Tamandua tetradactyla: one gene and its partners. The protein of the gene in region 1 interacts with the protein of each later gene in a biochemical or structural test. Links are inferred from orthologs where the notes say so. Each region holds a gene or a part of one and is shown on either strand. Other genes may lie near its edges.

Region 1 (7,370 bases):
TGAAGTTCTCCTAGTGATAATGGCTACCTTTCCCCCATCTTCCCCTCCATCCCTTCCCTCCTCCCGCCCTCCCTCGGATTCCACTCCTTTGGAGCCCACAGGTCAAGACGGAGTCTGGCCAAGTGACAGGCAACTGAGGACAGTTTTTTTTATTCCCGCCCACACATAAATACTCTTCCTTAATCCAGAAGTTCGTAACAAACTTGGATATGGTTATCTAAAGCAGGTGCTTTCAAACTTTCTTCACAGGAACCCACAGTAAAACACTATTTTTTACATCAGTACCCAATAAACATGAATATAAAACTGAAGTTTCATAAAATGATACTGAGAAGCATTCTCATTCCATCACCCATCATAACAAAAGCACTCTTTTTCATGCAGAAAAAATCTCAAAAGGATAAACCAAAATGTATTTCTATCCCACAATTTGCATCCATTCCTCTCTCCCCACCACTGAAGCCCATGACGCCTGAGAAAGGCTAAAGGGAGGGGGGGGGTAACACAAGGCAAAAATCAGTTCAGCTTGGTGGTTTCCTCTTTATTGATGTGCCTCCTACCATCCCCCCACAATTTCAGTCCCTTCCATCTACCCCCCCCCCAAAAAAAAGGTAGTAAAAAGAAGGGATTGTTGGGGTTCTGGACCCCATGGGCAGTTAGAAAAGGAAGAGAAACCAAAACAGTCACTAGATGTGACAGAGATTGACAACCAAGAAGTCTGAGGCAGAATGGGAAAAACGGCTGAGAAAGGTGAAGAAAAAAGAAATAGGAGGGGTACTAGGAGCCATCTCTCCTGCTAGCAAGGGCTGGAGAGAAAGCTTCAAACATTAAGAAGTGCAGGTCCTGAAGAAGAGAGGCGGTGTCTGAGCCTGAAGAAGGGGGGGTAGGTCAAGGAAGGAGGGCCACCTCTCTCTGTAGAATGGGACACCCCACCTTAGGGGCAGCAGCTTCACAGACCGTAGACACTTTCATCGCTGTAGGCAATGTATAGAAAGAAGTCTTCTTCGTGGTGTTCCTGATTGAAAGCAGAACATGGTATTGCTCAGGCATTGGGGTTTCAGGTTCCTGGAACCACCCATAGCCCACATTCTTCAAGAACCATTCTTTTTGAAGACCCAAAAACCAGTACCTGACTCTCTCCCTCACTGGCTCTATACCTAGCAACCAAGCAGCTTTATCCCTAGCAAAAAGATCTCAAATTGTTCTCTAGTGCCTCAAAATGGGAAGGGGGATTGGGGAGAGTCATCAAACACTACCTCTAACTCACTGTTCTTTCCCTTCTTTGTACTCCCACAGCCTACTCCAAACCCTCAACCTGGGACTACCCTTCAGTCTTCAGGCCAAAGATAAAATTGCAGGCTAAACAAGCCAGCTAGCATAAAAAACTGCGGACTTAAAACTTTCTTCCCCTCAAATGCTTCCAAGACTCCTCTCCAAAGCCTCCACTGTCTTCCAGTCCCTATACCTGGTATAGCTGACCCATCGTGGCACTGGTGGGTGGAATGACATTGTTGACAAAGAAAAACAAGGCATCCTCAGCTCGGAGATGAATTCGCTTCCGGATCAAGAAGTAGAACTGACCAACTGCCAAAGATATAACAGCAAGAAAGTCACAGAGGTCACAAATGCCCTCAGCTTTGCAGCTCCTATGTGAAGCCTCCTTCCTCCCACAGAGGTTGCACTCCCACCCACAGGGAGCAAAGCTGGATCCTGGGTCAGGTTCCCACCTGTGAGATCAGAAGGCACCAGGTATTTCTTTTTGTCCAGGTCTCCTATCCGAGCTTTGGGAGCCTTCTCTACTATCACCTGAAAAAGGGACGATGAAAATTAGGACAAAACAACTCTGCAGTTCTACCTATCAAAAACTCAAGCAACAATATTCAGAGCACCCAAACCACCCCCAGCCTCATTTCTTTGTCTCTGCACACGCGGTGCAGCACCAGGTCCGGAGATCCTGACCCCCGTGTCTCCAGCTCACCTAAATGTCCGGATCCCTGAATAGGGCGTCATAATAAATAAATACGATCTTAATCCGACTGGGACCACTTGTCTGGGCCTATTAGCCTGTCAATCTCGCAAGCCTAGCTAGCTGGAGGGGTGACTGTCAAGTTCCCCCTCCATCTTCCACTCACACGAATCCCAAGGTCTACTTTCCCCACCCAGGGATATCCCCTCAGCCCCAGGGCTGGCACCACGCCATTCCTTTCACCCCTAGTCCCCGGAACAGCTGTTTAAGGCTCTTCCCCAACCCCGCCACAGCTCGCAGCCTGAGCCCTGCGTAGCCCGTGCCGAACCCAAGCCCTAGCTTGGCGTCGGCGTCAGCGTCAGCGCCCTCCGCCCAGGCTACTGTCCTCACCGGGACCCGGTCTGGGTATTTCTTTCGGATTTTCTCGCCCTCAGAGCGGCGCTTCTCGAACGGATGCTCCTCTTTATACACGAACTTCATCCTCCCGGGAACCGGGCTGGACCGGGCTGGGCTGAGGAAACCCGGGGGGGCCGGGATAGGGGGCGGTGGCGACGGCGGCGACGCGCGGGCGGATTCAGCGGAGCGATCCCCAGATCTTACGCCACTTCCCTATTCACCAACCCCACCCCGGCCCATAACGCGCTGCCCCACCTGCTAAAGTACGCCACTAGCGCAGCGGCCTAACGCCGCTGGCGTAGCACCACCCACTGACCGCCATCCCCCTCACGCCAGTAGCGTAATCGCTTTGGGATCAATTTGTGGGCCACGCAGGCAACGTAGCAAGGTGGTTGGCATTTCGTATCGTGAGAGATAATTGAAAATCCATTTCCCGACATTCCTCCACGAAGCTGAGCATGAAAAGAGGTAGGAAATGGTAGTCATAATTGGAGATTTGAGTCTTCAAAAGTTCCTTTCGGAAATAACGTCAAGGAGCAGAGGTAATTTGTACAAGGACAGCTATTCACGAAACGGGTTCCGCTGAAGGCGGCCGTTGACACCAAAACAAAGTAGTACCCAAGTGGAGGAAGTCGTCTCCAGAAACAGGATGGCAGAAATGAAATACGGGTTTGAAGAGTCGCACAGAACGCTTAGGTTCCAAGAATGAGTGGACCAATAGGGACTGGAGAGGAGGTCCAAAATGTAGGGACAACGTCAGCGCGGAGGAACACTTTTAGGAATAGTACCATTGAAATCACGTGATCCCGGGGAAGGGCGGAGCGTCACGTGGCGGGTACGAGGAAGTAGAGCCGGCTGCAGGAAGGAGGGTGCTAGGAGGCGGAGTCGGCTGGGGCCAGGGCCGGGAGCGAGGGTGGGTCAGGCCCAGAGAGCGCGGAGATCCCTGGGCACCAGGTTCTTTGAGGAAGCGCTCAGCTTATGCTTAGTTTGTCCATACCAGTGACCCTGACGAAGTTCTGCATTACTCTAGGCGTATGCTCTTGCGGGCATCCAGGTTTCTCATACTTTAGTACTTCTACAGCCTACTGCTTTGAAGCTCACGTTCCCGGAGAGAAACATCTCCCAGTCCCCACCAGGACTCTATCCTATTACTCAAGTCCTTCACGCCCAAGCATTTCCTGTCAACCTTCACTATTCCACCCCCACCACATTTTCCCCCTACCCCCGGGGGCCAACAGCAGCCTCCTCCCCCTGGGTTGATGTGAACAAAGTCCCCTTCCTTCTTTCCCCAAACCGCAGCTTCCGGTTTCAAAGTTATAATGCATGGTTTAGAAGAAAAAAGAGAGCTGGTTATAGGTTTGAGGGAAGTTTGAGGGAATCTAGGAAAAGAGAAAAAGAGAGGGAAAGGAGGACAGTTTGGGGCTAATTCAGTGGCCAAAATCCCAGTCTCCCACCCACAGCCCAGCCCAGCCCAGCTCTTGGAGCAGGAAGGAGTGAAGAATTAGATCAGTTTTAAAAAACAAGAGTTTTTTAAAAATCAAATCACAACAAAGCTGGCTTAGCTTCTCTTTGAGCCTCCCGGAACACCAAATGTCTCTCACTTTGGCCAGTTCTGCCTTTCCACACAGTTTCTTTGGGCACTCCTAGGCCTTGGCTTGTGTCCAGTCTGGGGTTTCCAGGGAGTGTGAACACGAAGTTAGAGTGAGGCTGCTTCAGAGTCTGGCCATGGGTCCATCCAGACTCCAAGTGAAGAGCAGGGCTCCAGGGCAGAGGGGGGTGGGAGGGGCAGATCCTGCCCAGGCAGTCCTCACCATTGGACAGGGGATCAGACGGCATCCGAGGGCTCACCCTCCCTTTCCCCCCCACCCCAACTCAGGTGGAGGGGGAGCAGCTGTCACCAGAGCCTGTGTCGGTGAAGGTTTCGGCTCAGCACAGAACGAACGTCAGCAGTGAACCTAGGATAACAAGAACTTGCATTGGACAATAATGTTAGAATACTGAATGAAGCAGAATGTGAGAATAATGGAGGAGGTCTGGGGGCACAAATGACAACATGGAAAGACAGATGATAAAGACTGAGATGGTATAATCTAGGAATGCCTAGAGTGTATAATGATAGTGACTAAATGTACAAATTTAAAAATGTTTTTGCATGAGGAAGAACAAAGGAATGTCAATACTGCAGGGTGTTAGAAATAGATGGTAATGAATATTTTAAAACTTTAACTTATGTGTGAGACTACAGCAAAAAATGTTTATTTGGCACAAAATTTATATTTTGACTAGTGTATTTCCTAATACAACATATGTGAACAGCTTAACTGATCACCATAGTACATGAAACCTTGAGTAGGGCATGAGATTTTGTAGGTTTCTCCAGAGGGATGCCCTAATAAATGCCAGAGTGATTTGAACAGTGAATACAAAAGCATTTGCAAAGTTCCCCTGGGGGAATGATGAGAAAGGGGGAAAATTCAGCTTCCCCAAGTGGAGAATTCTTGTTATTCTCACAAGCAGTGGGAACAACCAAAGCAATAGGCTGAGCCCCCAATCTTGGGGTTTGTTCATATGAAACTTAACCCTGGCAAAGGATAGGCTAGGCCTACTTGAAATTAGGCCTAAGAGTCACTCCCAAGAGAACCTCTTCTGTGGCTCAGATGTGGACTCTCTCTCTCAGCCAAGCAAACTTACTGCCCTCCCCCCTCTCTGCGTGGGACATGACTCCCAGGGTGTGGACCTTCCTGGCAATGTGGTACAGAAATCCTAGAATGAGCTGGGACTCAGCATCAAGGGATTGAGAAAACCTTCTTGACCAAAATGGGGAAGAGAGAAATGAGACAAAACAAAGTGTCAATGGCTGAGAGACTCCAAACAGAGTTGAGAGGTTATCCTGGAAGTTATTCTTACGCATTAAACAGATATCACCTGTTAGGTTAAGGTGTAATGGAGAAGCTGGAGGGAGCTGCCTGAAAATGTAGAGCTGTGTTCCAGTAGCCACATTTCTTGAAGATAATTGTACAATGATATAGCTTTCACAGTGTGACAGTGTGATTGTGAAAACTTGTGTCTGATGGTCCTTTTATCTACCTTATCAACAGACGAGTAAAACATATGAATTAAAAATAAATAATAGGGCGAACAAATGTTAAAATAAATTTAGTAGGTTGAAATGCTAGTGATCAATGAAAGGGAGGGGTAAGGGGTATGGTATGTATGAATTTTTTTGTTTTTATTTCTTTTTCTGAATTGATGCAAATGTTCTAAGAAATGATCACGATGATGAATATACAACTATGTGATGATATTGTGAATTATTTGATTTTATAACAATGGAATAATCATATGGTAAAAATGTTTGTGTTTGTATGTGGAAATGTTTCATAAAAAAAAAAAAAAAAAAAAGAGGGCAGGCCACGGTGGCTCAGCAGGCAAGAATGCTTGCCTACCATGCCAGAGGATTCGGGTTTGATTCCCGGTGCCTGCCCATGTAAAAAAAAAAAAAACTTGCATTGGTAGAGTGTCTTATAATTTAAATCCTTCCAACAATAATGTAAGGCAGTTTGATTAGATACATGGGGCAGAAATTACCACCATTTTTCAGATGATGAGACTGAGGTTCTGCTACCTCAAACCCAGTGGTTACATGTGATGAGTTTGGAGTTAAAAGACCTGGGTTCAAATGCTAAATTCCTAAGGGAAGAGACATTAAGTAAAAACAAAACAAACAAAAAAAGCCAACTTTTAAACACTCATGGCATCCCCAAGTATCTAGAATCTACTTCCTTACCTGAGGGCATCTAGCATCGGGAGCAGGTTGAGAAGGGCTGTGTCACTGGGGTCACTGAACCAGGACTTGATGGGGATAGCGTTGTCTAAGGCAGGTGAAAATGCAGATTGGAAGAAATAAAGGATTCAAGAGAGTTGCTTTTCTTTTACTTTTTTTTGAGGGGAACCGTTAATAAAAATACATATTACCCCCTCCTCCAATGGCCTATGTGAAACCTTCCTGATTCATTCTCCAAGGCAGATTACATTTTTAATCACCCAGATCTCATGCTAGAATAAGGCTTCGAGTCAAACTTACTGCCATTTGGCCCCACTTAAAACAAATCTGATGTGAGACGTGGACATACGGGGTGAGGGTGGGGAGAATGTCTCATTTGAAACTGAGAAACTTGCACCTTAACCCCCAACAAGTTCCAGCTCTGAAGGCTCCTAGCTCCGTGCAATCAGAACACCTCCTCAAAACCACTCCCTGGTCCTGCCAGATTCATACCTTCCCCTCATACCTGGATGGCTCCGGTAAGCCCCTGGGGAGTTATCCAGGATCATAATGCTGGAGAGGTCACTGTGAACCACAGAGAGGTCCTTGATGTAACTGCCCAACTCCAAAGTGCAGTGCTGGAAGGCAGGATGAACTGGGCATCAAAAGGAGACTCACCCTCTATGGCTGCTCCCCAAATCCCAGTGATGTCCATGGGCAACGTACTTTCACAAAGATGATTATGCAGTATGCTCCCCCACAGCCCCCCGATAGGTCCCATTTCAGGGCAACCGCCTCAAACCCAGGTTCCTCTATGCTGGCCTGCCTTCCAAACATCATTCTTAGACCTAGATTCTAGCCCCCTACCTGTCTGTAATATCTCCTCATGAGAATACTTCTGCTATCGTCCAGTTTGTCTGCCACAGCAGAGCCATAAATCTCCATGCTTGCTGTGAACACCACCAGCTCATACCAGTGGCTCACCTGAAACGGATTGGGGGAGAAGGAGGTGTAAGGGAAGAGAGACAATCGTACATTTAGAATATAGTTCCCTTTCCCTAGGACTCAGGCCTAGTCCTTCAGACCTTCCAACAACATCATGTATCTCTGGGACAAAATTCTGAACCTCCACCCCCACTCCCAAATCCCTAAACTCAGAATTTCAGCATCTTATATTCTTCAGAGATCCAAGAACAAAAGAAAAAGATGCCTGTGAGGGAATGGAATTACATCTGCACAACAAAT
Region 2 (7,439 bases), on another chromosome or scaffold:
GTAGTGTAATTGTTTTACCCCCAAATTGCTTTACTGTAATTCCTTGCTTGTCTTACCCTCAACTTATTAGTTTCTTAAAGACAAGGACCATAGCTTTTTTGTCATTGAATCCTGAAATAACTCTCAAATTCACCCACCCATCTCCATCCCTACAGCCACTGTCTTCTCAGGCCTGTCTTCTGTCATCTGGATTGCCATGACAGTGCTCTAATTGGTCACTCTGCCCTTCTTGCTCCATTAAAGGTCATCACCACATTTGGGTACTTTAAAAGACATCTTTGTTCAAAATTCTTCAGTGCCTCACTCCACATACCCCTAGTCTCATAGCTTTAAAAATTAAGACCGAAGTTCTTAGCATGTCATTCTAACTGTTTACCAAGTGTTTACTATCTACCAGTACCAAGCGGGCAACATGTATCATTTCATTCAATTCTTACAGCAACCCTGCAAAGTAGGTGTTTTAGTTTGCTAAAGCTGCCAAAATGCAAAATACACAAGAAACTGGTTGGCTTTTAAAAAGGGGATTTATTAAGTTACAAGTTTACAGTTCCAAGGCCATAAAAATGTCCAAACTAAGGCATCCATAAAAAGATACCTGACTGAAAAAAAGGCCAATGGCATTTGGGGTTTCTCTGTCATGTGGGAAGGCACATGGCAACATCTGCTGGCTTTCTTCCCTGGTTTCTAATTTCAAATGACTTCCCTGGGGGTCTTTTTATTTCTGTATCTCCAAACAGCTCTGTCTGCAAGCTCTGAGCTTTTTCCTAAATTGTTTCCTCTTAAAGGACTCCAGTAAGTGGATTAAGACCCACCTTGAATGGGTGGAGACGCATCTCCATGGAAACCACCTAATCAAAAGGTCCCACCCACAACTGGGTGGGTTATATCTCCATGGAAACAATCTAATCACAAGGTCCCATGCTAAAAATAGGCCTGTGCCCACAAGATTGGATTAAGAAAAGGAACATGGCTGGAGTAAATAACAGTTTCAAACCAGCACAGCAGGTAGTACATCTCCCCTTTTTATAGAGGAGGAAACTGATGCTTAAATAGAAAGTGATTTTCCCAAGGTGAGAAAACTAGTTTAGTGGTGATGGCCCTACGTGTAACCCAGGTATGTTAAATTCCAAAGCCTGTGCCCTTGACCATTATATGCTATTGCTCACAAGTCCCTTGTAATCTGGCTCCCATTTACCTTTTCACAGTTACCTCTTATTCCAGAACTCTACTTGCAAGTCAGGTACTCTCACCTACAGCCCTTTGCTCATGCCACTGCCAATATTTACAATATCATCCCACCTCTTTTCAACTGGCTAATTGCTACTCATTTTTTAGGACTTGGATAAATCATATCCTCACAGAAGCCTTCTCTGATGTCTCAGACTGACTTACAAGCACTTCTCAATTTTCCTCTAGCAAAGCTCCACAATAGCTTCATACTGTATTGCTATAATATATCTCTTTGAGTTGGAAAAAAAAAAAAAGTAAACTCCCTGAGGACAGGGATGTATATCTTACTCATTTTTGTACTTTCAGACTGTGGTATAGTGTCAGGTACACAGCAGAAGCTCAACATGTATTTTTGCTTATTTTCTATCAGGAGAAACCGGCTGAAAACAGAAAAGGGATCTTGAGGTTGACAAATAAAGAGCCCAGTACTCAGCTCCCCAAAACGGTTTCGAAATCATGTATATGAGTGGCAGGGAGGACTTGACCAAGAAAAGCAGAGGGGAAGGCAGCAAGAGCAGCAGGCTGTAGGTGAGATGACCTGCAAGAACAAAGTTGGGGGGGAAACAATCAGGCAATGTGAGCCTGCACAAATCTAGCCTTTTCACGAGCTCAAATATAAATCTACTCAGGGAAACCTTCTTGATAACTCTCAAATGTCTGTTTTATGTATTCATAAGCAACTATTTGTTGAGCCTCTATAATATGCTAGGCACTATTCTAAATGCTGGAGATAGAGCAATAACTAAACCCAGATTTCTGTCCTTGCAGAGCTTACTCTGGTAAATAAATAAAATGTACTTAGCCTAGAGGAGAAAAGGTGGGAAGAGGAAGACAGAAGTGCAGGGCAATTAAGTGGAAGGGGCAGTTAACTGAAAGGGCAAAGAGACTGAAGGAGGGATGAGATGATTACCAAGTAATAGCATACAGTTCAATATATGACTTTTAATGAGAGCTGGGGGAAGAAGAAACAGGAGAACCAAAAGTAGTGAGTTTTCTGTCACTGAAGAAAATTAATCCGTGGGCAGGGATGTCACATAAGAAATCTAAGTATACTATGGGATAAGGAAGGTAGGACTCAGAAGTCCCAACGTGTCACAAAAATGCCTGGTTTCAGTAACAGTGTTAAAGTTCGATTACACTTCTGTCAGTGGAATTTTCTTACGCCTGCATTTACCTTACCTGATTCCGGTTAAACATCAGAGTTTGCAAACCCTGCACCAAACCAGAAAAAATGCGCCTAGAGTTCTCTTAATTTAACTTCCTCATTGCACAAATGATGTATTGTATTCCCACTTGACAGATCAGAGTATCTCAGAAACGGGCGGGACGCGCCAGAGCCACACAACAAATCCAGGCAAAGACAACGAAAACCCAGGTGTCCTCCTAGCTATTGTTCCCAAATCAGAAATTCTGAGCACTCCCTGCAGAGGACAGGAGGAGTGCCTTAGACAATCAGCAGGAATTTCCAAATCAGAAGTCTCGAGGCTGTAAGAGCATGAGGGGACGTAGCTGGAAAAAGAGGGAAGACAGTCGGAGTGACTTCCCGGAGGCCCCCTCAGTTCGGGAGAGGAGTAGCCTGAGACGCGCTCCCGCCCCCACGGTCGAGCTCCCCTCTTCTCTACCGGCCTCCGGCACGACCCCGAAGGACCCCCACCACTCCATCGGCAGCAACCGCTCACTTACCGCCACTCAACTTCCGGCAACCGCAGCGTCGCCGCAGCGCGCGTCCCGATGACGCAATATAGTCCCGCCTCTGTCTTACCAGGAGGAGTAGTGCGCATGCACACAAACAGGCGCCGGCGAGCCTGGAGGAAATGCGACCTTACCGTCCAGCTGAGTGGAAGGGGCTTGGGTTCTGGAGAATATAGGGCGGGGGGAGTGGGCGAGGACCCTGGGGAGGGACGATCAGGACCCCTCCCTTTTCAGATGTGGAAATATGTATATGGTCTGTCATGCTTTTTAAAAAGTGCTCCACGTCCTCTTTTTATTTAAGAGAATAAGAATCATCATTGCCATTTTTCAAGAGAGGGAACTTCCGACATAACACGCGGATCATTAGGAAGGCAGGTGTGGAGAGATAGCAGAGGAAAATTTTAATAAGCAAAGGCCAGTGAAAACTGACAGTGACCAACCTCCTCCTTCTCAACACTCATGCTTTTCGTAGCTTACGATGTCAATGGGATTAAGTTATTCATTCTAAATTTATTTAGCACATTGTACAGTGCCAAGCATTGGACAAGTGTTGAAAATACAATAGTGAATATGATAAATTTCTTAATCTGGCATGTAATGCTGGCTCACAATGTAACCCTCATGCAGCTCTATAGACTTATAAGAGTAATGACGACTCTTTTTTTTATTATTATTGTTTTTCTTTTTGGATTACCTCTGTTTCACATTTCTAATCTTCACAGAGGTCTGGCCCCGGATGATGTCATATTATTCCCATATTACATGTGAGAGAACAGAGCCTGGGAAAAGTGGTTTGCTGAAGGTCAAAGAGTTAAAAAAAAAAAAAAAAAGGGAGAGGATTCTAACGGAAGCCTGTTTGTCTCTGGTGAAATGAAAAAATAAATCCAGATTTAGTAAGGAGAGACTTTATTCCAAGGATTGTTGCACGTGTTGGGAATGCTGCAATAGGAAGAGGGGCAGTACTGCAATAAGGAAAATGCTGTGAGCATGAGATCTGTAGGCATCTCAAGGGTTTTTTCTTTTATAGGGAGAAGTAAACAAGGCTATAAAGAATCTGGTGTGGCTAAGTAGGAAGAAAGGGTGGCTTGACCCAATACTAGATCAGAAGACGTTTTACCATGAGGCCAGCATATTCTCAGGAGAGGTTGTATGCTGGTTCAGGCTGAGGGTAAGTCAAACAAAGCTTGAGAACTGGGAAGGAAAAGAAGCTTATCCAAAGTTCGATTAACAGGCCTTTTGTTCCCATTGATCAGTAGGGACAGGAAGTTTGGCTAATCATTTATAAGACAAAGAATGGGAACTTGGAGGGTCTGTGTCTGGCCCTGTCATAGATAAACAAGGGAGGCATCTATGAATTTTATCTAAGTCATATGGAGAAGAGTGTTTCTTTGCAGAAAGCCATTTCCCAAACACAAAAGGGTGCCAGTGGGGAGGTTCTTAACCATTGCTGTTTTCCAGGAGGATTTTACAAGTAAAATTTAACATTTTCAACTCTTTCCACTGTGTCAGTCTCCTCTCCTGCCACTGACCCTCAGACTGCATGCTTGAGTCACTAAACTAATTCTGGTTTCCTGAACACACTCTGCTCCTTTTTATCTCCATGCTGTATTTGCCCTTACACTTCCTGTGTTTGTAGAACCCTTTCTGAATCTTCAAAACCCAGTTGAAATGTAGAAGAATATCACAGACAAGTCATATGAGAATATATGAGATTCTAAAATCAGCAAAACTCATCTATAGTGATACTGATCAAATCGAGTCATTGCCAGGGCAGTAGGGGTAGGGATTGTCTGCAAAAGGGCATGAGGAACTTTCTGAGGTAACAGAAATGTTTTATGTATCTTGATTGGGGTGGGAGTGAAATGGGTGTACATATTTGTCTAAACTTGTTGAATTCTACATTTTAAATGGTGCGTTTCATTGTCTGTTTTTGACTTTTTTTTTTTTTTTTTTTTCTTTGCATGGGCAGGCAACGGGACTCAAACCCAGGTCTCCAGCATGGCAGGTGAGAATTCTGCCACTGAGCCACCATTGTACCGCCCATCTTAGCTTTTTTTAAAACCCGGTTGGATGTCACGTCCTCTGTGAAGGCATGCCTGACACCCATCAAAGTAGGCTCCAAGAGTACTTAACTCTATTAAGCCTGTATGAGCCTTGGTTGAAGTTAGTTCTTTATAAGCTAGTCTTCCCTGCTGGATGTAGAGATTCTTATGATAATCATCTTTTGGAGTTTCTGCCCAGCTCGTAATGATTCCTCCTTCTCATGTGCTCCCCCTCCACACACACACACAGTTGATTAGAGCAGAGGTGGAGATGACAGTTCTTTACTCTGAGTTTTGGACTTTTAAACTAATGCTCATAGAGAATAGCAATAGTTCCTTTGGGTCAATGGCATCGTTACAGAGGGAATGTTCTCAAATTCTTACTTTTGAGGTTTCTGTGGTTGACTTGGCTCAAGCCCTGCCCAAGGCTAGGTCATTCAGAGCTTCATTCGAGTCCATAAATGTGATGGCTTAGAAGCTGTGTGTACCTCAGAAAAGATCATGTTCTTTTAATCCATTGTTGTGGGTATAGACCTATTGTAGGTGGGACCTTTAGATTATGTTATTTCAATTGAGATGTGATACTACCTCATTCAAGGTGGGTCTTGATCCTCTTACTGGAATCCTTTATAAAAAGATAAAAGACACAGAGACGACACAGAAAAAAAGACTCAAAAAAGCTAAGAGGAAAGAGTCAGAGAATCTTAAGAGGATGCACAGGAAAACAGAGAGAAATTACAGAAATGGAGAGGAAATCACTGAAGCCAGAAGCTGGAAGCAGTGAAAACCTGGAGAGAAGGGAGAGACCAGCAGACATCACCATGCGCCTTCCCATGTGAGAACCCAGGTTGCCAGCAGCCTTTTCTTCAGGAAGAAGTTATCTTCCTGATGGTACCCTGATTAGGGCATTTTCACAGTCTCAGAAGTGTACATTTATACATTAATAAATCCCCATTGTAAAAGCCAACCCATTTCTGGTATATTGCATTTCATCAGCTTTAGCAAACTAAAACAATAAAATGCACAAGTAAGCATTCATAAAGTTGGCTTCTGTTATTTGCAACCCTGAAGTAGCTCCATAGGGTTAGAACCATTTCTGTCTTATTCTCCTGTGTTTCTTAATGCCCAGATCGAGGCCTGGGCTAAGAAGTGCCTAAAAAGTATTTTTTAAAAGTAACAGATGGTGTCTGGGCATGAAAAATAGATGTGGGGACCAGAGTTGATGATAGCTGAGGTCACAAATTTGTCTTCCTTGTTAACAAGGAGTTAAGGTGGGGCTCAGAGCATAAGCTTCCCAGGACAGGTGGCTTTTGGTAAGCAGACCGCTGGCGCACTAAGACCAGGGAGCATCAAGGAAGCTGCAGGACCAGGAACCACAGAAAGGCAGAGAATGTCCTCAGACACAGCATGGCAAGGAGGTCTCGTGACACTTATTCAAGATTACTGCAATTCAGGCCAATCTACCTTCACCACTTGTCTTGCCGCTCAGTTACGGGGAGCACACACTCCCCAGAGTGAGAATCCTACGCCAAGCCAACCTACGTTTTGAGAACTGCGAGATTGTAGAATGACAAATGTCAACAAAGTAGATTTTAACAGCATTGTATCTTTATAGCACTTAGAGTGCCTAGCAGCCAGAACAGCTCCAGCATCTTTTTCACCCTTTGTTAAGACTATCAATAATCAACCTCTGGGAAGTCCACGCATTCCCATTTCCGAGAAGGAAACCAGTGATTATCTGAAAGCCAAATACCCAAATGACCAATTCCTCAAATTTGCAGACTGGTAAATTTTTCTGAATGCCAAAATTACCTGTGTTTAAGGTTCACAGTTGTCTCTATTGGATGAAGTGGCTTTGTAGGTTTTTCAAGATTTATGCAGTGTTGTAGATGACTGTTTTTCATGTTGTCTTCAGAGAAGTCCTTTAAAGAATTTTTATTTATCAGAAGCTGTGCCGGTGTGAATCTGTTGTGTACTCCAGAAAAGCCAAACTCTTTTTAATCCTCATTCAATATTGCTGGGTGGGACCTTTTTGATTGTTTCCAAGGAGATGTGATCCACCCAATTGTAGGTGGTAACCTTTGATTAGATGGTCTCCATGGAGATGCATCTCTACCCATTCAAGGTGGGGTTGCTTACTGGACCCTTTTAAGAGGGAACCATTTTGGAAAAGGCTTTAGAGCCACTAGAACCGACAGAGCCAACAGAACGGACAGAGCCCTGGGGAAGCCGTTGAGGAGCCTGGAGAGAAAGTTAGCAGGCATCGCCATGTGCTTTCCAGCTGAGAGAGAAACCCCAAACTTTGTTGGTCTTCTTGAACCAAGATATCTTTCCCTGGATGCCTTCAATTGGACATCTTTATAGCCTTGCCTTGATTTGGGCACTTTCATGGCCTTAAAACTGTAAACTTGCAACTTTATAAATTCCCTTTTTTAATAGCTGTTCCATTTCTGGTATATCACATTCCAGCAGCTT
Region 3 (7,448 bases), on another chromosome or scaffold:
CAGTGCTCTTGAATTGATCTTGGTCTTGCCCTCTGCCAAGTCCCACACAACCCATCCCTACTGCCTGAATCTGTCTCTCGTCCAGACCCAGTTGCTCTCTGAGTTGCCAGATCCTCATGTCCAACTACCTGACATTTCTAAAGATATTCCAAATAAACTAATCTGCCTCTCTACCAAACCATCTACTCCTCCTTGCCCTTATCTTATCTTAGTGAATGGCCAGGAAAAAAGTCTCATGTGTCTTTTCTCTGCCAGGCTCTATTTAATCCACTGTCCAGAGGTATCTCAAAACAGAAACCTGCTCAAAGCCAACTCATGGCTCCTCACTGTCTCAGGACCAAGCGCAAACTTCTCAGCATCATTTGCGAGGAGGACATTTCTGAGTGGTCTCCTGCTCATCCCATCCCAGGCCTCCAGCTCCTTGGAGGCTTGGGGTTTCCTCCAAGGGCCTGGATGACTTCTCTCCTGCCTCCAGGTTATACATACCATATGCTTCCCCCTTCTCTTCACCTGGCTATGTTCTTCAGACTCTTTGTTCCTTGTTTGTACCCTAGTATCTCTAAGGAAATGAACAGTCTTGTTGCTCTTACTGTAAACCCACAATCTGCCCTCAATGGATGTTTCATGCTCACTGGATGAAGAAATAATGAAGAAATGAAACAAAAGTGCAATGAGGCAGAACTAGGACCATTATAAGGAAGAGTCTGCAGATGAGGACCAGAACAGTGACTTGCCTGTGGATTCAGGTACAATTGATAACCGGGCAGGAAGGAACTGGGCTGCGAGCATCTTGCATCTTCGAACACATGAGTATGTGTGTGGACATAATCATGTTTTAGTGTGACCTCAGTTCTTTTTAGTTGACCACTTGAAGCCATCGAAAAGCCTTTTTTTTTTTTGCGGGGGGAGCAGTATTACTATTAGGGAGAGATACCCAAACTGGATATCCCAACTGGTGTAGTTGTTGGTGCTATGGGGTTCATTTCTGGGAAGCATGCCCCTCCTTGAATGCTTGTCCAGCACCGACTATTCCAGTTTGTATATTCCAGTTCTTATAAGCATGGCAGACATTCAACCGAAAACAGAAGCAGTGAGCTGAGTACTGAGCTAAGACTTGGAACCTTGAATGATGTAGGGCACAAGCTTCCTCTTCATTTCCTTTGTTGTTACTATTGCTGTATGATTTTCTTATTTATCTGGGCTAGCAGTGAACAATTTAGGTTTTCTTGGCTCAGCAACAAGCAAATTAGGAGAAATGAGGAATATGGAGTAGAGGATAGGCTAAGAATAGGAGGAGAGAATTGCTTTAATAAAATTATCAGCACAAAATTTTATCTGCAGGGCTGAGAAACAAAACGTCATGTATACACAGCTCTTTCCACTCAAGGAGTTATGGACCTACTGTAGGATTCTAACATGAAACATGTTAAGTCAAAAGCATTAATACTGGTCATTATCCCCTCACTCTAAGACACACCTTGATGTTGTCTGTGCAACTTCCTTGATTGGGAATTCATTATTCATGATTTTTCTGTCCTATTACAAATTTTCTATCTGCTTTGGAAGATGAAGGCAAGTACTCTCTTTATAGGCAGTACTTGTGTATATTTTGGCTTTCTTTACTGGAGCCAGGTTACTTTCCAAACTGTCTGAGATTCAGAGGCTATATTTTGTTCTCTTTTTGTTTCCTTAGACACATTTTCAGTTTCCTTGTTATCTTTGGATATATATCGTCAAATCATCTAGTTCATTAGTGTTCACTCTATTTCCAACATAGAATGATGCAAAAAAACAGAGGAGACTTTTAAAAACTGTGTGGTCAGCCAGGGGATTTTAAGCATTGCATGCTCTTGAAGCTAAGGGACAAGCTCTACTGCAACTACTGATAGTGTTGTTTTGATGTCATCTTAGGCATGGAATAAATTTCTCAAGTATTACAAAGATAATTAGGCAAAGAAAAAACACCCAGTTGCACCCATTTATGTGCCTGTGCCAGGGTATTTAATCTTGTCACACAATTCGTCTGTCAGCAATTATTAAAGGTCAGAGGTGAAAATGACTGATTACAGCAATTAGTCCAGTCTTTTATGCAAAACAGTCCTTGCAGCATTTTCTGCATAGTAATTTTAAGAGAGAGAGAGAGAGAGAAAGAAAAGACTTCACAGTGCATAGTTGTGAGCAGGGAGATTTATCATTAAGCAGAGATAATAAGTATTGCAAACCACACATAGCAACTGGGGCTTAGCTTTTACGTGTCTTGGTTGTCAACAGCCTTTACTTCTTTAATGGATCTGAAGAACGATAATTAGAATGCACGGGTGAGAAGGAGGAGCATAGGAATAGCAAACATGTTTCTGGAATCACATCAACCCTGGTGTGGACAATGGGGACACCTGGCTCCTTGTTGCCTGCACCCATAACTCTCTGCACCGGCTGTGACACAAAGTGCCTAGTGACATATCCAAGAGCATCACAAGTCCGAGGCTGTATCCAGTGCTAAACAAAGGGCAAATTACACAATGAAGCATCGTTTATCTTGCAAAAGCTCTTGCGTCAGGGTCAAATGGGAGCACCAACCCCTGGCAAAAGCACCCAAGCTTCTTTCCATTGGCTTGATGAAAGGGATCCTTCCCAAAGGCGAGGCTGGAATGCCAGAGACCCCACACTCCCTCCTCACTAGTGCAGCATTCAGGGCCCTCAGCAGCTGCAAATATACATAATGAACTGTCCTTTCTTAGGCTGGCCCCTCCACCTGCAGCGCCATGCCTTCCTTATGCTGCTCTCCCAACAGAAATCATTGCCTCCACCCCCTCTTCATTTCCCTTAAAATTCAGGGCAGATGTTATTAATTCTCAAAAGTCTACAATGGATTCCTCCACTCCTTCCCTAATTTGGGCTGCACAAATTTAAGCAAGGACTCTCCTAGCACCTAGAGATGATTTTTTTTGCACATTTATCACTGCTGTATTTGGACTGTGAGTTTCCTGAGAGTGGAAGCCATCACTACAGAGCTTAGCAAAGCATTCCGTATGCAGGTGGCACACAATAAACCTCTGAATGAGTTCTGACAGTATGCTCCCTTGAGGTATAACATACAAGGAGCAAAGGGCACACACCTCAAACACATAGATCAACACATTTTTACACATGTATACACAACCCAGACCAGCACATACAACATTTTCCCAAAGAGCTCCCTGGAGACAAAGGGATTTGGTGGCTCTAGGAATGAGTCCCATGCATGCCAGGAAAGCAGGTTCCCAGAGTGGACTGGAGAGAATATAAGATATCATGATTCATCCTCGGGAAGAACTCTCAGGATTGGGGCGGGGTGTGTGGGGTGGGGTGGGGGTGGGGGAAGTGGGGCAGTAGTATTTCATTCTAGAGAAAAGCAAGAACTGGCATATTAGAGAATAGATCAATGCTGAAAGTTCAAATAGTGAAAACTGAGCATAATTAATAATTGGCCTTCCTTTTCCCCTGGGCTCATTCAGAAGCCCCAAATCCAAAGAGGCCGGGTACTGGTGAGGTCTCAGGAACCCTTTCACCACTGCCTCCTTATCCCAGCTCTGAAGCCTGCTTGTGACACCGAGACCCGACTGACACTCAAGTAACCGCAGTCGAGCCTCGCCAAGCCTGCGGGACGTGTAAAGCGGGACCCCTTGCTTCTCAGCCCCCAGTCCCTTGCACCTCGTACAAACCAACGGGCTTTTTTTGAACCAGCTCGCTATACCCACAAGGAAACAGGCGAGAGAGGAAACGCCTTCCCCCATCGCTGAGGGTTTGCGTTTCCTCCCTTGTAAAATGAGACGGTCAGACCCTCCCTTCACCAACCGCAAATGTTTTGTTTTGTTTTGGTTTGGTTTCCTGCTTTTTCAACCCAACACCTCTAACCACGTTATTCCCAGGGTGCCATAGACCCCTGCCTATGCCTATGCCTGTGCAGACTGTGTACCGCCAGGGCCCGGGGGTTCGGCGGGGGCTGAAATCCACCGCAGGGGGCCCGCGTAACGCCCTGCAAGGTGGCAGGGTGAGCGAGCGGTGGCCCCGACTGGGAAAAAAACAAAAAAAAAGGAGATGTCCAATTGATTTTGCCGGTAGCCCTGGCTCCATTTGAGAGAAGCAACCGCGCAGCGGCATCGCCACCAGTTCACTCCCCCCGCCCCACACCCCTCAACCCCGCAGCTGGGAGGAAAGGGGGGTCATTTCCTTGCGTCTCTGGCGAGGTGGCCGAGCGCCCCGGAACCCCGCCGGCCGCGGCCCCCAGCGCGCAGGGGATGCCAGCCAGCCCGCGGCCCCGCCCCTGCGCGAACTTGGCCGCACCCATCTCCCCCGGGCGGCGCCCCAGCCGCGGCCGGCGCTGACGTCACAAGGCACCCAGCGGCTCGCGGCCCGCGGTGCGCGCCCAGCGCCGGGACCCGCCGCCGCCCGCTCGGCGCCGACACCCAGGCGTGCCCCGCGCGTCCGCGTCCCCGCCCGGCCGCGAAGATGGCGAGCGTGGCGCCCCGGGAGCACGCCGAGGAAGGATGCCCGGCTCCCGCTGCCGAAGAGCAGGCGCAGCGGCCCCCGCCGCCCCCGGCTGCCTTCCAGGAGGAGCGGGAGGCGGCGGCCCCGCAGCAGGAGGAGGCGGCGGCGGGCGCGGGCCGGCAGGTGGAGGAGGCCGCGGGCCGGGTGGCCGCCGCCGCGACCTGGCTGCTCGGGGAGCCCGTGTTGTGGCTGGGCGGCCGCGCCGACGAGCTCCTGAGCTGGAAGAGGCCGCTGCGCAGCCTGCTCGCCTTCGTGGGTGCCAACCTGCTGTTTTGGTGAGAGCCTGGGCTGGGTGGGGGCTCCCGGGGTGTGGAGATGGGGGGCATTTGGGGCGCCCAGGGGTGGCAGAGGGCAGACCGGCCGGCCGGCGTGGGGTGTGCACGCTGCAGAGAGAGCGGTGTCAGCCCTGGCCCACCTTCTCGGCCACCTGTCTCGAGCAGAAAGACCCACACCTCAACTTTCCTCTCAACGCGTTTCCCCGTCTCCGGTCGCACCCCTGTCCACCCGCGCGTGCGTCCAGCCTCGGCGGCCAGGTGGTCCGCTGACTCCTGCGCACCTGTAGCCCCATAGGTGTGGCCACCGTGCTCGGAAACTTCAGTCTTTGCTTTCTAAAACTCTCAAGTCTTGACCTGGTCGGCTCAAGCATGCCAGAGCTAGTGGGCTTGAACTTGGCATTTGTCCCTGCACTCCAGCAGACATAGCTGGACCAACTTAGGTACACGTTCAAGACTCTGCCACCTTCATAAACCACCTGGGATGGGCGCTAAATGGTTTGTTTTCCCTTTCCCTGGAGGGTTTACTGTCTTAACTCCCTGGCAGGAAAACCAGGAGGCAAACAAACAGGTGGATTATGTACCTCACCCCATCCGCCCCGCCCCCCTCGGACTGCGCAGTGTAGAAAATAGCATGAAGGGCAGAGAGAAAACATAGGAATTATTCTCATAAAAGCCCGTGATCAACAGGTTTGGCTCTCCAAAAAGTGCCCTTCACCCAGACGGGCATGGGAAGCATCTGGCTCCTTCGCTGAAGGGCATATGCGCTGTCATCTGTTCTCAGTCTGAACTGAGGGCAGAGAAAAAGCCTTCTTTGTTTGCTCAAGGGTCCTGTAACGAACCTGACCCAGGCAGTGCAGAAGAGGCTGAACCCCGGTATACCTTGTCAGAGGATGTGGATTTCACCTTCCAGTTGGAAAATAAATCAACGCCTGGAACAGAACACACCTGCCATTTTTATTAGGTCAACTTGAAAAACAGGAAGATTTTTCTGGAGAGTCTGTGCTAGTCCTGGTTTTCTCTTTAAAATGAGCTGCATCTTGTCAGGGTCCCTGAATGTAAATGAACTTTTCTTTGTGTTTAGCCATCTGTGTTTTTAGAGTTTACACCCGATTTCTTCATATACCCAGTTATGAAGTTACATGAGTACTCAAAGGAGAGCAATACATGATATTAGGCTGGATTGGGCATTATTCTTAGGGATAGAAAGAACCTTATCATATTATCACAATCATTTTACTAATAAGGGCCGTGGTTTTAAATTTATTTTTCTTGATTTTAAATTTTATTTTTTAAAATAGCTAATACAGACTCAGTTCAAAAGTTTAAAGATACAAAAGGATACATATTTTGAAAATCTCTTTCTCACGCCTGTTCTTGGCTACGCAGTGTTCCAGTGTTACCCAGTCTCTTCTGTATCTTTCCAGGTAGTATTAACTATCCACGTAATATTAACGCATAGTTCAGCAATTACACAGTATTTGCCATAAATTCTGGAATACTACATGGGCTGCCCTCTTCATGGTTTTCTTGGCAATTGCTTCTTTGTTCTTTTTTCAACAGCATAGAATTTAGTTGTAAGGATGTCTCAAATTGTTAAACTGTCCCCAATGATGGGTTGTTTTCAAACTTTTGATATTTCAGTGTTATGGCTAATAACCTTATACACACTTCATTTTTGCATATATGAAAGTATTTCTGTAGAATAAAATCTTAGAAGTGAAATTAGAGGGTATATGTACTTATAATTTTGAAGGATATTAATTTATACTCCCACCTCCAATGGTTGTGACTGCTTATTTTCCTACATCTTTGCTGACAGCATTTGTCAGACTTTGATCTTGCAAATCTGATAGGTGAAACAGGGCATCCCAATGTGGTTTAAATGTGCATTTCTCTGTGAGTTTGAGCATCTTTTCTTATATTCAAAAGCCATTTTAATTATCTTTTCTCCACATTGTTTGTAAATATGTTTTTTAATTGAGCCATTGGTCTTTTTCTTACCAATTGTAAGATTGATTTGTAGGAGCTTTTTCATATTAAAGATTTAGCCTAATTTCTGTGATATGAGCTGCAAGTGTTCTTTCTATGGCCTATTAGTAATATCTACTGAAAATAGTGTTTTTTCATAAGACAATTGAAAGGCATATGTGTTATTTTTCAGGAGTGATGTTTGCCATGTACTGTATTTATAACTCCTATGGAGAATAATTCTGATGGAGAGGCAAACAATGGCCAAGTATTCAGCCTCCTTCTAGCTTTCTGCTTATCTGTTATTTCTTCTCCTGCAGTATCTACATTCCACGCATTTATTTTCCTTAACAGAATGATAACATCCTGCTCTTTGAATTCTGAAATACTTGTTACTGCTTTTGTACTTTGTGCTATAATCCATTGGAATTTCTGACCCATTTATTAACTTTGATTCAATTTTTGGAGTGTTTTTCATTCTCTTTTTGTTGCTTCCAGGGTTAGAACACTTTTCAAGGACGTTCAGTTTTCTTTAAATAGTATGTTTCTTAATCTTTGATCTTATATTATGTGACCCTCTAACATTATGTGTCCCAGGAATTCTGAAGCACTATATTTTCCATGAGAAAACAAAAGATTAATATTTTAAATATGCGGGACCCAAATCTTGTCTTCAGC

What was found. The genes of interacting proteins can lie anywhere in the genome.
Region 2: the proteins of GABARAP (region 1) and ATG7 form a complex in vitro, tested with the Homo sapiens proteins (2 studies listed by BioGRID and IntAct, with this or other methods). The link is inferred for Tamandua tetradactyla from reciprocal best matches to the Homo sapiens genes GABARAP and ATG7.
Region 3: the proteins of GABARAP (region 1) and RETREG1 are reported together in a solved structure, tested with the Homo sapiens proteins (2 studies listed by BioGRID, with this or other methods). The link is inferred for Tamandua tetradactyla from reciprocal best matches to the Homo sapiens genes GABARAP and RETREG1.

What each region holds. Positions count from the first base shown.
Region 1 is NC_135332.1:61,108,954-61,116,323, forward strand, and holds GABARAP (gamma-aminobutyric acid receptor-associated protein), read right to left. Parts: upstream 2,585-7,370; 5' UTR 2,447-2,584; coding exon 2,357-2,446; intron 1,807-2,356; coding exon 1,728-1,806; intron 1,585-1,727; coding exon 1,466-1,584; intron 1,016-1,465; coding exon 950-1,015; 3' UTR 521-949; downstream 1-520. Other genes in the region: CTDNEP1 (CTD nuclear envelope phosphatase 1), read right to left, coding at 4,257-4,317, 6,150-6,234, 6,652-6,763, 6,993-7,109. UniProt on the Homo sapiens protein: Ubiquitin-like modifier that plays a role in intracellular transport of GABA(A) receptors and its interaction with the cytoskeleton.
Region 2 is NC_135335.1:37,669,273-37,676,711, forward strand, and holds the start of ATG7 (ubiquitin-like modifier-activating enzyme ATG7), read right to left. Parts: upstream 3,006-7,439; 5' UTR 2,914-3,005; intron 2,904-2,913; exon of another isoform or gene 2,410-2,903; intron 2,011-2,409; exon of another isoform or gene 1,519-2,010; intron 1-1,518. UniProt on the Homo sapiens protein: E1-like activating enzyme involved in the 2 ubiquitin-like systems required for cytoplasm to vacuole transport (Cvt) and autophagy.
Region 3 is NC_135335.1:65,782,349-65,789,796, reverse strand, and holds the start of RETREG1 (reticulophagy regulator 1), read left to right. Parts: upstream 1-4,443; 5' UTR 4,444-4,488; coding exon 4,489-4,802; intron 4,803-7,448. UniProt on the Homo sapiens protein: Endoplasmic reticulum (ER)-anchored autophagy regulator which mediates ER delivery into lysosomes through sequestration into autophagosomes.